Linked DNA regions of Xenopus tropicalis. The protein of the gene in region 1 purifies or fractionates together with the protein of each later gene. This does not show direct contact. Links are inferred from orthologs where the notes say so. Each region holds a gene or a part of one and is shown on either strand. Other genes may lie near its edges. The genes, in order: rnd3 and plekhg5.

Evidence for each region.
Region 2: the proteins of rnd3 (region 1) and plekhg5 purify together in Homo sapiens (affinity purification with western blotting; 3 studies listed by BioGRID and IntAct, with this or other methods). This does not show direct contact. The link is inferred for Xenopus tropicalis from reciprocal best matches to the Homo sapiens genes RND3 and PLEKHG5.

What each region holds. Positions count from the first base shown.
Region 1 is NC_030685.2:76,553,985-76,558,259, forward strand, and holds the start of rnd3 (rho-related GTP-binding protein RhoE), read left to right. Parts: upstream 1-1,344; 5' UTR 1,345-1,452; coding exon 1,453-1,602; intron 1,603-2,862; coding exon 2,863-2,950; intron 2,951-4,275. UniProt on the Homo sapiens protein: Binds GTP but lacks intrinsic GTPase activity and is resistant to Rho-specific GTPase-activating proteins.
Region 2 is NC_030683.2:99,439,425-99,443,698, reverse strand, and holds the start of plekhg5 (pleckstrin homology domain-containing family G member 5), read left to right. Parts: upstream 1-1,466; 5' UTR 1,467-1,624; coding exon 1,625-1,628; intron 1,629-4,274. UniProt on the Homo sapiens protein: Functions as a guanine exchange factor (GEF) for RAB26 and thus regulates autophagy of synaptic vesicles in axon terminal of motoneurons. Involved in the control of neuronal cell differentiation.

The DNA.
Region 1 (4,275 bases):
AGCCACAGTCCCTTCCCAGAGGCTATTATCCCACTGCTACTATAGGCACCATCTCTCCCTACTATAGCTGCTATCCCACAGCCCCAGTCCCTTCCCAGAGGCTATTATCCCCCCACTGCTACTATAGGCACCATCTCTCCCTACTATACCTGCTATCCCCCAGCCACAGTCCCTTCCCAGAGGCTATTATCCCACTGCTACTATAGGCACCATCTCTCCCTACTATACCTGCTATCCCACAGCCACAGTCCCTTCCCAGAGGCTATTATCCCACTGCTACTATAGGCACCATCTCTCCCTACTATACCTGCTATCCCACAGCCCCAGTCCCTTCCCAGAGGCTATTATCCCCCCACTGCTACTATAGGCACCATCTCTCCCTACTATACCTGCTATCCCACAGCCCCAGTCCCTTCCCAGAGGCTATTATCCCCCCACTGCTACTATAGGCACCATCTCTCCCTACTATAGCTGCTATCCCACAGCCCCAGTCCCTTCCCAGAGGCTATTATCCCCCCACTGCTACTATAGGCACCATCTCTCCCTACTATACCTGCTATCCCCCAGCCCCAGTCCCTTCCCAGAGACTATTATTATTATTATTACTATAGGCACCATCTCTCCATTGTACCATTGAAAACATTGCAGTACATTACAGATGTGAGTGCTGGAGGGCAGCAGGTAGGCATCCCAGGCTACAGTGAATGAAGCTAAGGGATGCGCTAAAGCCAATACACACATTAGCGCCCCCTGCTGCTGAGTTACAATGGGCAGGGCTGGGTGTAGCTGTTACCCTTCAGCCACAGTATTTTGTACATTTTAGGTTAGAAAGAGGCAACACAGTAAGTAAAAAAAAAAAGAGAAGACCAATTGCAAATTGTTTCAGAACAGCAAAAGAGATGTTTATAGCATTTATAACGGGAATATGCCCTTCAGTCTCAGTTTTACTACAACTCACAGCATCCTTGGTTCTGATATATGTAGTGCAGCAACACATTTATGGTCACTGGCCGCGATTCCTTAAATTTACCCACTTTCCTATGAGGCCCAACGAAAAAAAACCCAAATCAGTATTTTAGGAAAACAAAGCCATCTGCCTGAGCTGCCCCCCTTGCTTTGTCATTGCCAAACTGCGGCACTTCCGGCACAGTCCCCTAGATGGCGCACTCTCCGCACAGCCCAATAGTTTGATTCCCCTCCGTCCTCTCGCCGCATGTTCCATACAAGGAGAAAGGGTGGGCGTGGCGGAGTCTCCGGTTACAGAAGAATAGGGACAGGGGGCGGGGCCCGCTATAAAACCTGTCAGTAGTAGAGTAACAAAGCTCAGTCATCTCCGCCGTTGGATGTAGGAGGGTTCCCCGCTGCCGCTGGTGGATCAAGCTGCTCCGGGGGGGTCTCGCCGCAGCCCCGACTCTCTGCTCATCAGGAAGGAAAGTTTCCCCATAAACATCAATGAAGGAAAGAAGAACGAGTCAGAAACTGGCCAGCAAATCAATGATGGATCCCAACCAGAATGTGAAATGTAAAATTGTGGTGGTGGGGGACAGCCAGTGTGGCAAAACTGCCCTGCTCCATGTCTTTGCCAAGGACTCCTTCCCTGAGGTAGGTCCCTCAGGGGCCCACATAGGATTTGCATGGAGGGGGAATCTTCATTCCATTTCATATTGGGGCAGTGTAACTTTCCCCTTACCCAGCACACTTGCCCTTTAAGGCTATGGGCAACTGCAACTCTCAGTATCATGTGGCCCTCCAGCTTTTGTATTGGGCTATTCAGCAAGGATGTCCGGCCTGTGGCCCTCCAGCTGTTCATGTTTAAGTGGCTGCAGATAAGAAATATATCTTTTTTTTTCCTTTTCAGCCTCCCTGGGACCTCCATATTAGTAACTGGGTTGGAATAACAGCTGGAGGGCCATAGGCTGATCCTTTTTGTACAGTTATCTTCTTTTTTTTTTTTACCAGCCATGGAAACAGCCTACAAAAACTGGCCTACTAAGTATAGCAGCTGTTGAGCGCCATTTGCTGGTTGAAGATGGTATTGCAACGTCTCAGCCTTTGGATTGATCCTGGCTTGTTTAAGGGACCCTGTTCGTCTGTAACCTACCCCCCCCCCCCCCCAACACACAACTGCCCCTCGCTTTGATGGCCCTCCTGTGGATTTACTGTAGGGTGGGCAGTCATTAAAAGGGTCATAAATGAACCCCCTAAAACCATCTGCTGGCGTATTCTTCTGGGCTCTATTAATTCTGTATGTGCCTGTTGTGCAGAGGGAGAGTGCAAGCTCTGTGGGACAGGGAATCCCTTTCTGTTGTGTTGCATGTGAAAAGCAAATCAGTTTGAATCTGGATTAAGTCGCAGTATTTGTGGGGGGGGGGGGGGGCTGATTTTAATGCAATGTGTTCTGATTTACTGTTCTACCCCTGTATCTGGGGTTCTAGACCGCTGTTTGGGTTAATGTTGCCATGAAATCCTGTTGTACATCAGTATATTCCGCTGTCTCCCATCAGCCTACACCTCTAGACAAGTTTGGGAAATCCCAGTATTCCAGGAATCTGCTACATTGTATCTGTAGCTAAACTACAACTCTCACCGTCCCTACCCAGGCCTTTGGTTGTACAGTAAGGGGCAACTGGAGCTCCTCGGCCCTCTCTCCTAAACTAGCAGTGATTCTGCGTCCCACACACAGGTTTCATACAATAGCCAGTAGGATGGATAAAGACCCCACAATACTGGTGCCCACCCACCTGTCAATCAATCTACCCCCCATCCCAAGCAGGAAGGACAAAGCCCTGGGAATAGTGTGTGTGTTGCTGCCCCTGGAATGATCTGGGCTAATCAAATGCATTTTCCTTTCTTCCCCTTCAGAATTACGTCCCCACCGTATTTGAGAATTACACGGCCAGTTTTGAAATCGACACGCAGAGGATAGAGCTGAGTCTCTGGGATACGTCTGGTAAGTTTAAGCTGCGATATCCCTTTAAATAAACATTCTGCTGCAGGGTGCCTGGGAGTTGCCTGGGAGTGATGGACTGGCACTTGCATCTGTTTCATTTATGTTTTTGTTGGATACATTGTAACTATTCCCTTGTGTGTAAAGTCCTAATGGCAAGTCTCTGTCATCAGTGTGGCCTGGGTCATGTGGTCCTGCCTGAGTCTGTGTAATTGGCGTTTGTGCCAGTCTGTTATGTTGGGTCGGCGTTAATCTGCAGTTACATAGTAATCGGAATGAATTCATAATTTATAGTGGAATAACAGTTATGCTAGGGTTATGCCCGGCTAGAGAGTTAGGCGCCGGCTATGGAGTTAGGGGCCAGCTAGGGTTAGGCACTGGCTAGGGTGTTAGGATCCAGCTAGGGTAAGGCGCTGGCTAAGGGGTTAGGCACCGGCTAGGGGGTTAGGGGCCAGCTAGGGTTAGGCGCTGGCTAAGGGGTTAGGCATCTGCTTGGGGGTTAGGGGCCAGCTAGGGTTAGGCACTGGCTAGGGGGTTAGGGGCCAGCTAGGGTTAGGCACTGGGTAATGGGTTAGGCACCGGCTAGGGGGTTAGGGGCCAGCTAGGTTTAGGCACCGGCTAGGGTGTTAGGGGCCAGCTAGGGTTAGGCGCTGGCAAGGGGTTAGGCGCTGGGCAGTCTCAGACAGTAAGTTCTAGCATTTGTAGTTCTATTTAATCAATGTTCTGTGGCCAGAACTCTTCTAGGTGGAGAGGGGAGTCCTTTTACAAAATCACAGCGATTGAACTACATCTCTACATCTTCATCCCTGTATCCCCTAAGTGTCATTGGCTAAGCACAGTATCCTGCAGCTGCAACCTCTTACTCCCTCTTGCCTTATTTTACACAATATCCCGTTCTTTCCCCTGCCTTATGTTCCACACTTTCCAACAGTTCTAGCTTTTTCCCAGAAAGGGGAACGGTGCAGTCTCTTCACTCCACCCCCCCCCCCCCCCACCCCCCCCCCCCCCCCACGGCCTGGAGCACAAGGCCATTGCCGCGTTGGAATCTAGAAATGGGGAATAATTACTGTGTTTGATGTGAATGAGCCTCCTAGGGAATGAGAAGCCTCCGCTCGCGGTGCCATATGCTGGTGTGTGAGTAATGGATGAGGATGGAGGCGCTGGGCTGGCTAATAATCGCGCTTAGTGTGGAACATTCACATATGATACATTCATTATTCATGCAGAGCGACGGGTACGTGCCATCCCATGCCCCAAGGTCACATTGAGCCTATAACTGCTACGTAATGAGGCCTTGGCACCTTCTAGGCAACAGCTTCCTGCAGTGA
Region 2 (4,274 bases), on another chromosome or scaffold:
TAATGCATAAAGTCCTTTCAGGCAGCTGTTGTCTCACATATTCAATCCTTATATACCAGTTGCGAGACTCAGCTTTTGCTCCTTTTGCTCCTACTTGCATGCTATGTCTACCACTAGGAAGCATTTTTTAGCAATGCAAACAATATGATCTATACAATGCTGAAACCTTCTGCAGCCTTCAGGTAATGTGCTTTTTTAGACTGGGAAGTTTAGGGTAGAACCAATTTTTTAAACCCGGACCGGACTCGGACCCCCAACCCGCATTTTTACCTGACCCACAACCTGAACTGATCTGCCCTGCCAGGTTTTTTCTTGGTGGCCCACTGGCCCAATCCGACCATGATAAGCTCCACATAACGACCTGCAGACCCACCAATCCACATCTATACCCACATCTAAAAATCCTACCCACAACCTCTACCTGACTCTAGGTGCAGCAGGCTTAATATAATAATCATATAATCATTAACAAGCAATATAAAATGTCTTTATTGGAAGCCTTTTTATTTTCTGCAAATTCAATTCATGTTGTTTTTATTTTTAGTAGTAAATTTTACGAATCTATCCATATTAAGCAATATGTCATGACAGTCTTTCTAATATCTTTGGGTGGTTATGAGTTTGACTAAGTGGATTTTGTGGAAGTGCATACAAAAGAATTAGAGGGAATGTTGCACAGAAATGAATTCTTGCTCCTGGGTACTGGCACTTCTAATGGCAGCTGAAGGGGTGATGCAAGGACAAGACTGACAATCATGTCTGGTGGGTTACTCTGCATCTCCTACACCTATTGTTGAAGGACTATTCCCAGTATCCCTAGTAGTGGACCTGCAGATAGTAGCAGTTCTGCAATAGCACACAGTGGACCATGGGGCAATGGGGACTTGTTTTGGACATGTCAGATGGAAATGGATTGCATGCAGTTAGTAAAGATATGCATTAACAGTATGATTTAGCTGTAATATGATTTGGGTATATATCTAAACAAATGTACAAGTCTATAATATATATCTGTTTTTCTAGGTTAGCATAAATAACTTTTTCACAATGCTGCCATACTACATGAGTTATCTCTGATTCCAGGGGTTTATATAAACAGGATAGCATACATTAGCAATCCCAAGCATACAGCAATCTCAATGACTTATACGCTGCATGATGTCGTATTTCTATCCCTTGTACCCACTGGGTTGCCTCTTGTATAACAAAATTCAATTTATTGCTATTTAAACGGCACTACTTGTTGCGTTTGCTTTTCGTTAAGGGTTATAAACTGTTTTGTTCTATGATTTCTGGTTTGAAAAATGGGTTCTTTTTTTTACAATCACAACTGAAAAATCTGGACACCCACAGTCAGTTGATTAAAAACCCATTCTCTATATACTATTGCTGTACTGACTGTGTGGCAAAGGACGGGCACAAGATCTTGGTTTCTTAGCTCCATTTTAGTCAGACACAGAGAGGGATAAACACATTTCGTCAGGAGCTGATCAGTCTTTAGGCTGGAAATCATCTGAGACATTATTTCCTCTCTGCCGGTGTGTTATTCACAGCTTGTCTGGGATTTCACATTCAGACAGAAGAACAGCACAAGGGCTGCTTATACACAAGATCCTCTAAATCAATGGGTGAGTTGAGAAATATTTGGAAGAATCTGCTTAAAAATAGAAAAATGGTATCTTTGTGGCTCTAGCAATGTTTGTTATGGGGGGGGGGGGGGTCTATGCTATAATTCTCCTTATCAAAATCTTTGTATTTAGTAGAAAGGAATCTGTTACATTTAATCAAGACTGGCAGCAGTGCATGTCAGACAGCAGGATCTTATTGCTTTATATGATGGGCTCATTTTAATTTTCCGGTTGCTTAGAAAAGGGGAAAACATCAACTATAACACTGATAGCAATTTATTTTATGTCAGAATATATGCAAATAATGTGGCACATAGATTCTTTTTTATGTCTTAAAATGATAACTTCTCCATCATATATATTGTATATATGTATATCTTTATTTATAAAGCGCTACTTATGTACGCAGCGCTGTACAGTAGAATGCATTAATACAAACAGGGGGTTATTAAGATAATCATAGATTAATACAAAGTATAACAATAAATACAAATAAATACAAGATACAGTTGCAATAAGTTAGGAGTCAAAGACACAAGAGGATGGAGGTCCCTGCCACGGAAACCAGTCCATTTTAGGCAAATAATTCTAATTATTTATAATGATTTCCTTTCTTTCTCTATAATAATAAAACAGTGCCTAAGCTGAATGCATATTGACAAAGCAAGTCAATTGGGTTTAATGTTTAAATGTTTTTTTTAGCAGACTTAAGGTATGTGTTCTGAAAAGATCCTTTATCCAGAAAACCCTAGGTCCCAAACACCTATACAATCCACATTCTGTATTTTTAATTTCCAGACGGTGTTGTGTATGCTGCATTCCAGGTCGGCAACCATTTAAATTATCTTTTATTGTCTTTTATTTAAATTGTACCAACATTTTACAAAACTTGGTAAAGTCATACACAAAGCAACCAATCAGATATTTTTTAAAGAAAACAAACACATATTAATCATTTGACTTACATTCAAAACCCAGAAGTTCAAGCTCAAAATATAAATTATATAAATATAGGAATTTGTATGTTCTCCATGAGTCTCCTCTGGGCAGGGGCGGGCCAAGCTGACCGGGTGCCCTAGGCAACTTGGTCGGCCACCCCACCCCTGCACCTTTTCCGGGGTGTTTGCATGTTCGATGCTGACAAGTGGGGGGGGGTTGGAGTCATTGCCCCCGCCGCAGTGGGGCAATGACAAGGATGCGGGAGGGCTAGGGGGTAGACAAGGGAGGTACCTGCCTGGCACCCCCCATCATTGCGCCCTAGGCAGGTGCCTCTTCTCTTCCTCTAGTTTCCTCCCACACTCCAGAAACATACAGGTTAATTGGCTCTTGATAAAATTGGCCCTTCTGTGTGTGAATGTGATAGGGACACTAGCCTGTAAGCTCCACTAACTGATGTAAATAATGTTCAATCTCTGTAAAGTGCTGTGGAAATATATCAGCACTATATAAATACAAGGAAATTAATGTATTTACATATCGTTGGGGACCAAAATAAGAAATGAGAAAGAAACAAATCATAATAGGCTAATTTATTCATTCAGTTCCCTTGTTATAGCTCAACCAATGCAGAGTTTTGATATGCTGTATGAAAAATGTCTTGGACTTTCAGGACCTCCAAAGACCAATGGCCTACTTTTTAGTGTGTGCAATGGATGTTTCATCTAATTTAGACATATATATCATATTCGTTATACAACATATGGATTACATTAAATGTTCCTTGCTGTTGTAGATATGTCCAAAATGTATATTTTCAGCTGGTACATTGTTTTTTTAAAGTGGCAAGTTGTAGCTGTGTTACTACAGCCGGGATTTGATCAAGATTTGGCCTTTGTCAGCAGAATTCGGATTCTGCCAAATCCATGTGCCTGGCCAAACCAAATCTGAACCCTAAAAATGACGTGACTTTTTGTCACATAAAGAAGTTGAAAATTTTTCGCAATTCCCTTTACCCCTCCGTGGCTACATTTGCATATGCAAATTAGGACTTGGATTTGGTTCGGTATTTGGCCAAATCTTTCACAAAGGATTCAGGATTCATCCCAAAATAGTGGATTCAGTGCATCCCTACTAAATAGTGACTGTCCATGGCACCTTACAGCAGCCCCTCATTTGCCAGAATCCACAGATTGCTAGCCCAAGCCTGAACTGAACCCACAAGGAGTGAAGTGATAAATTGACCCCAGTTAACCAGCTTCAGTTAACCAGCTTCCCTACAAATACCTGTAATGCAAACCCTCAAAATAAATAATGGCACAGATTACATTTTTTCTTTAGTTTTCCAAATGAATTTTAACAACAGTGCCACCTGCTATGAAAATGAAGTTAGAAGAGTAGTGTGTCATGAATCATGATAATTCTCTGGTCAGATCCAAGCAAAGCAACACCACATTTCCTTTCTCAGATGCACTTTTTTGACTGTAGACAGTCAGCTGTAATGAACAGCAGGTGGCACTGGTGTGCAGTTACCAATAGTAACCAATCAGCAGGTAGCAAACACTGTTCAAAAGCATGCATCTTATTGGTTGCTTAGGTTACTGCACAGCAAGCCTGTTTGTTACATATGGGGATAAAACTTTGGGGGAATATGAGAAATGCTAAATTTATCAAATGGGCTAATCAGTTTGATTATGGTTCCAGCAAAGA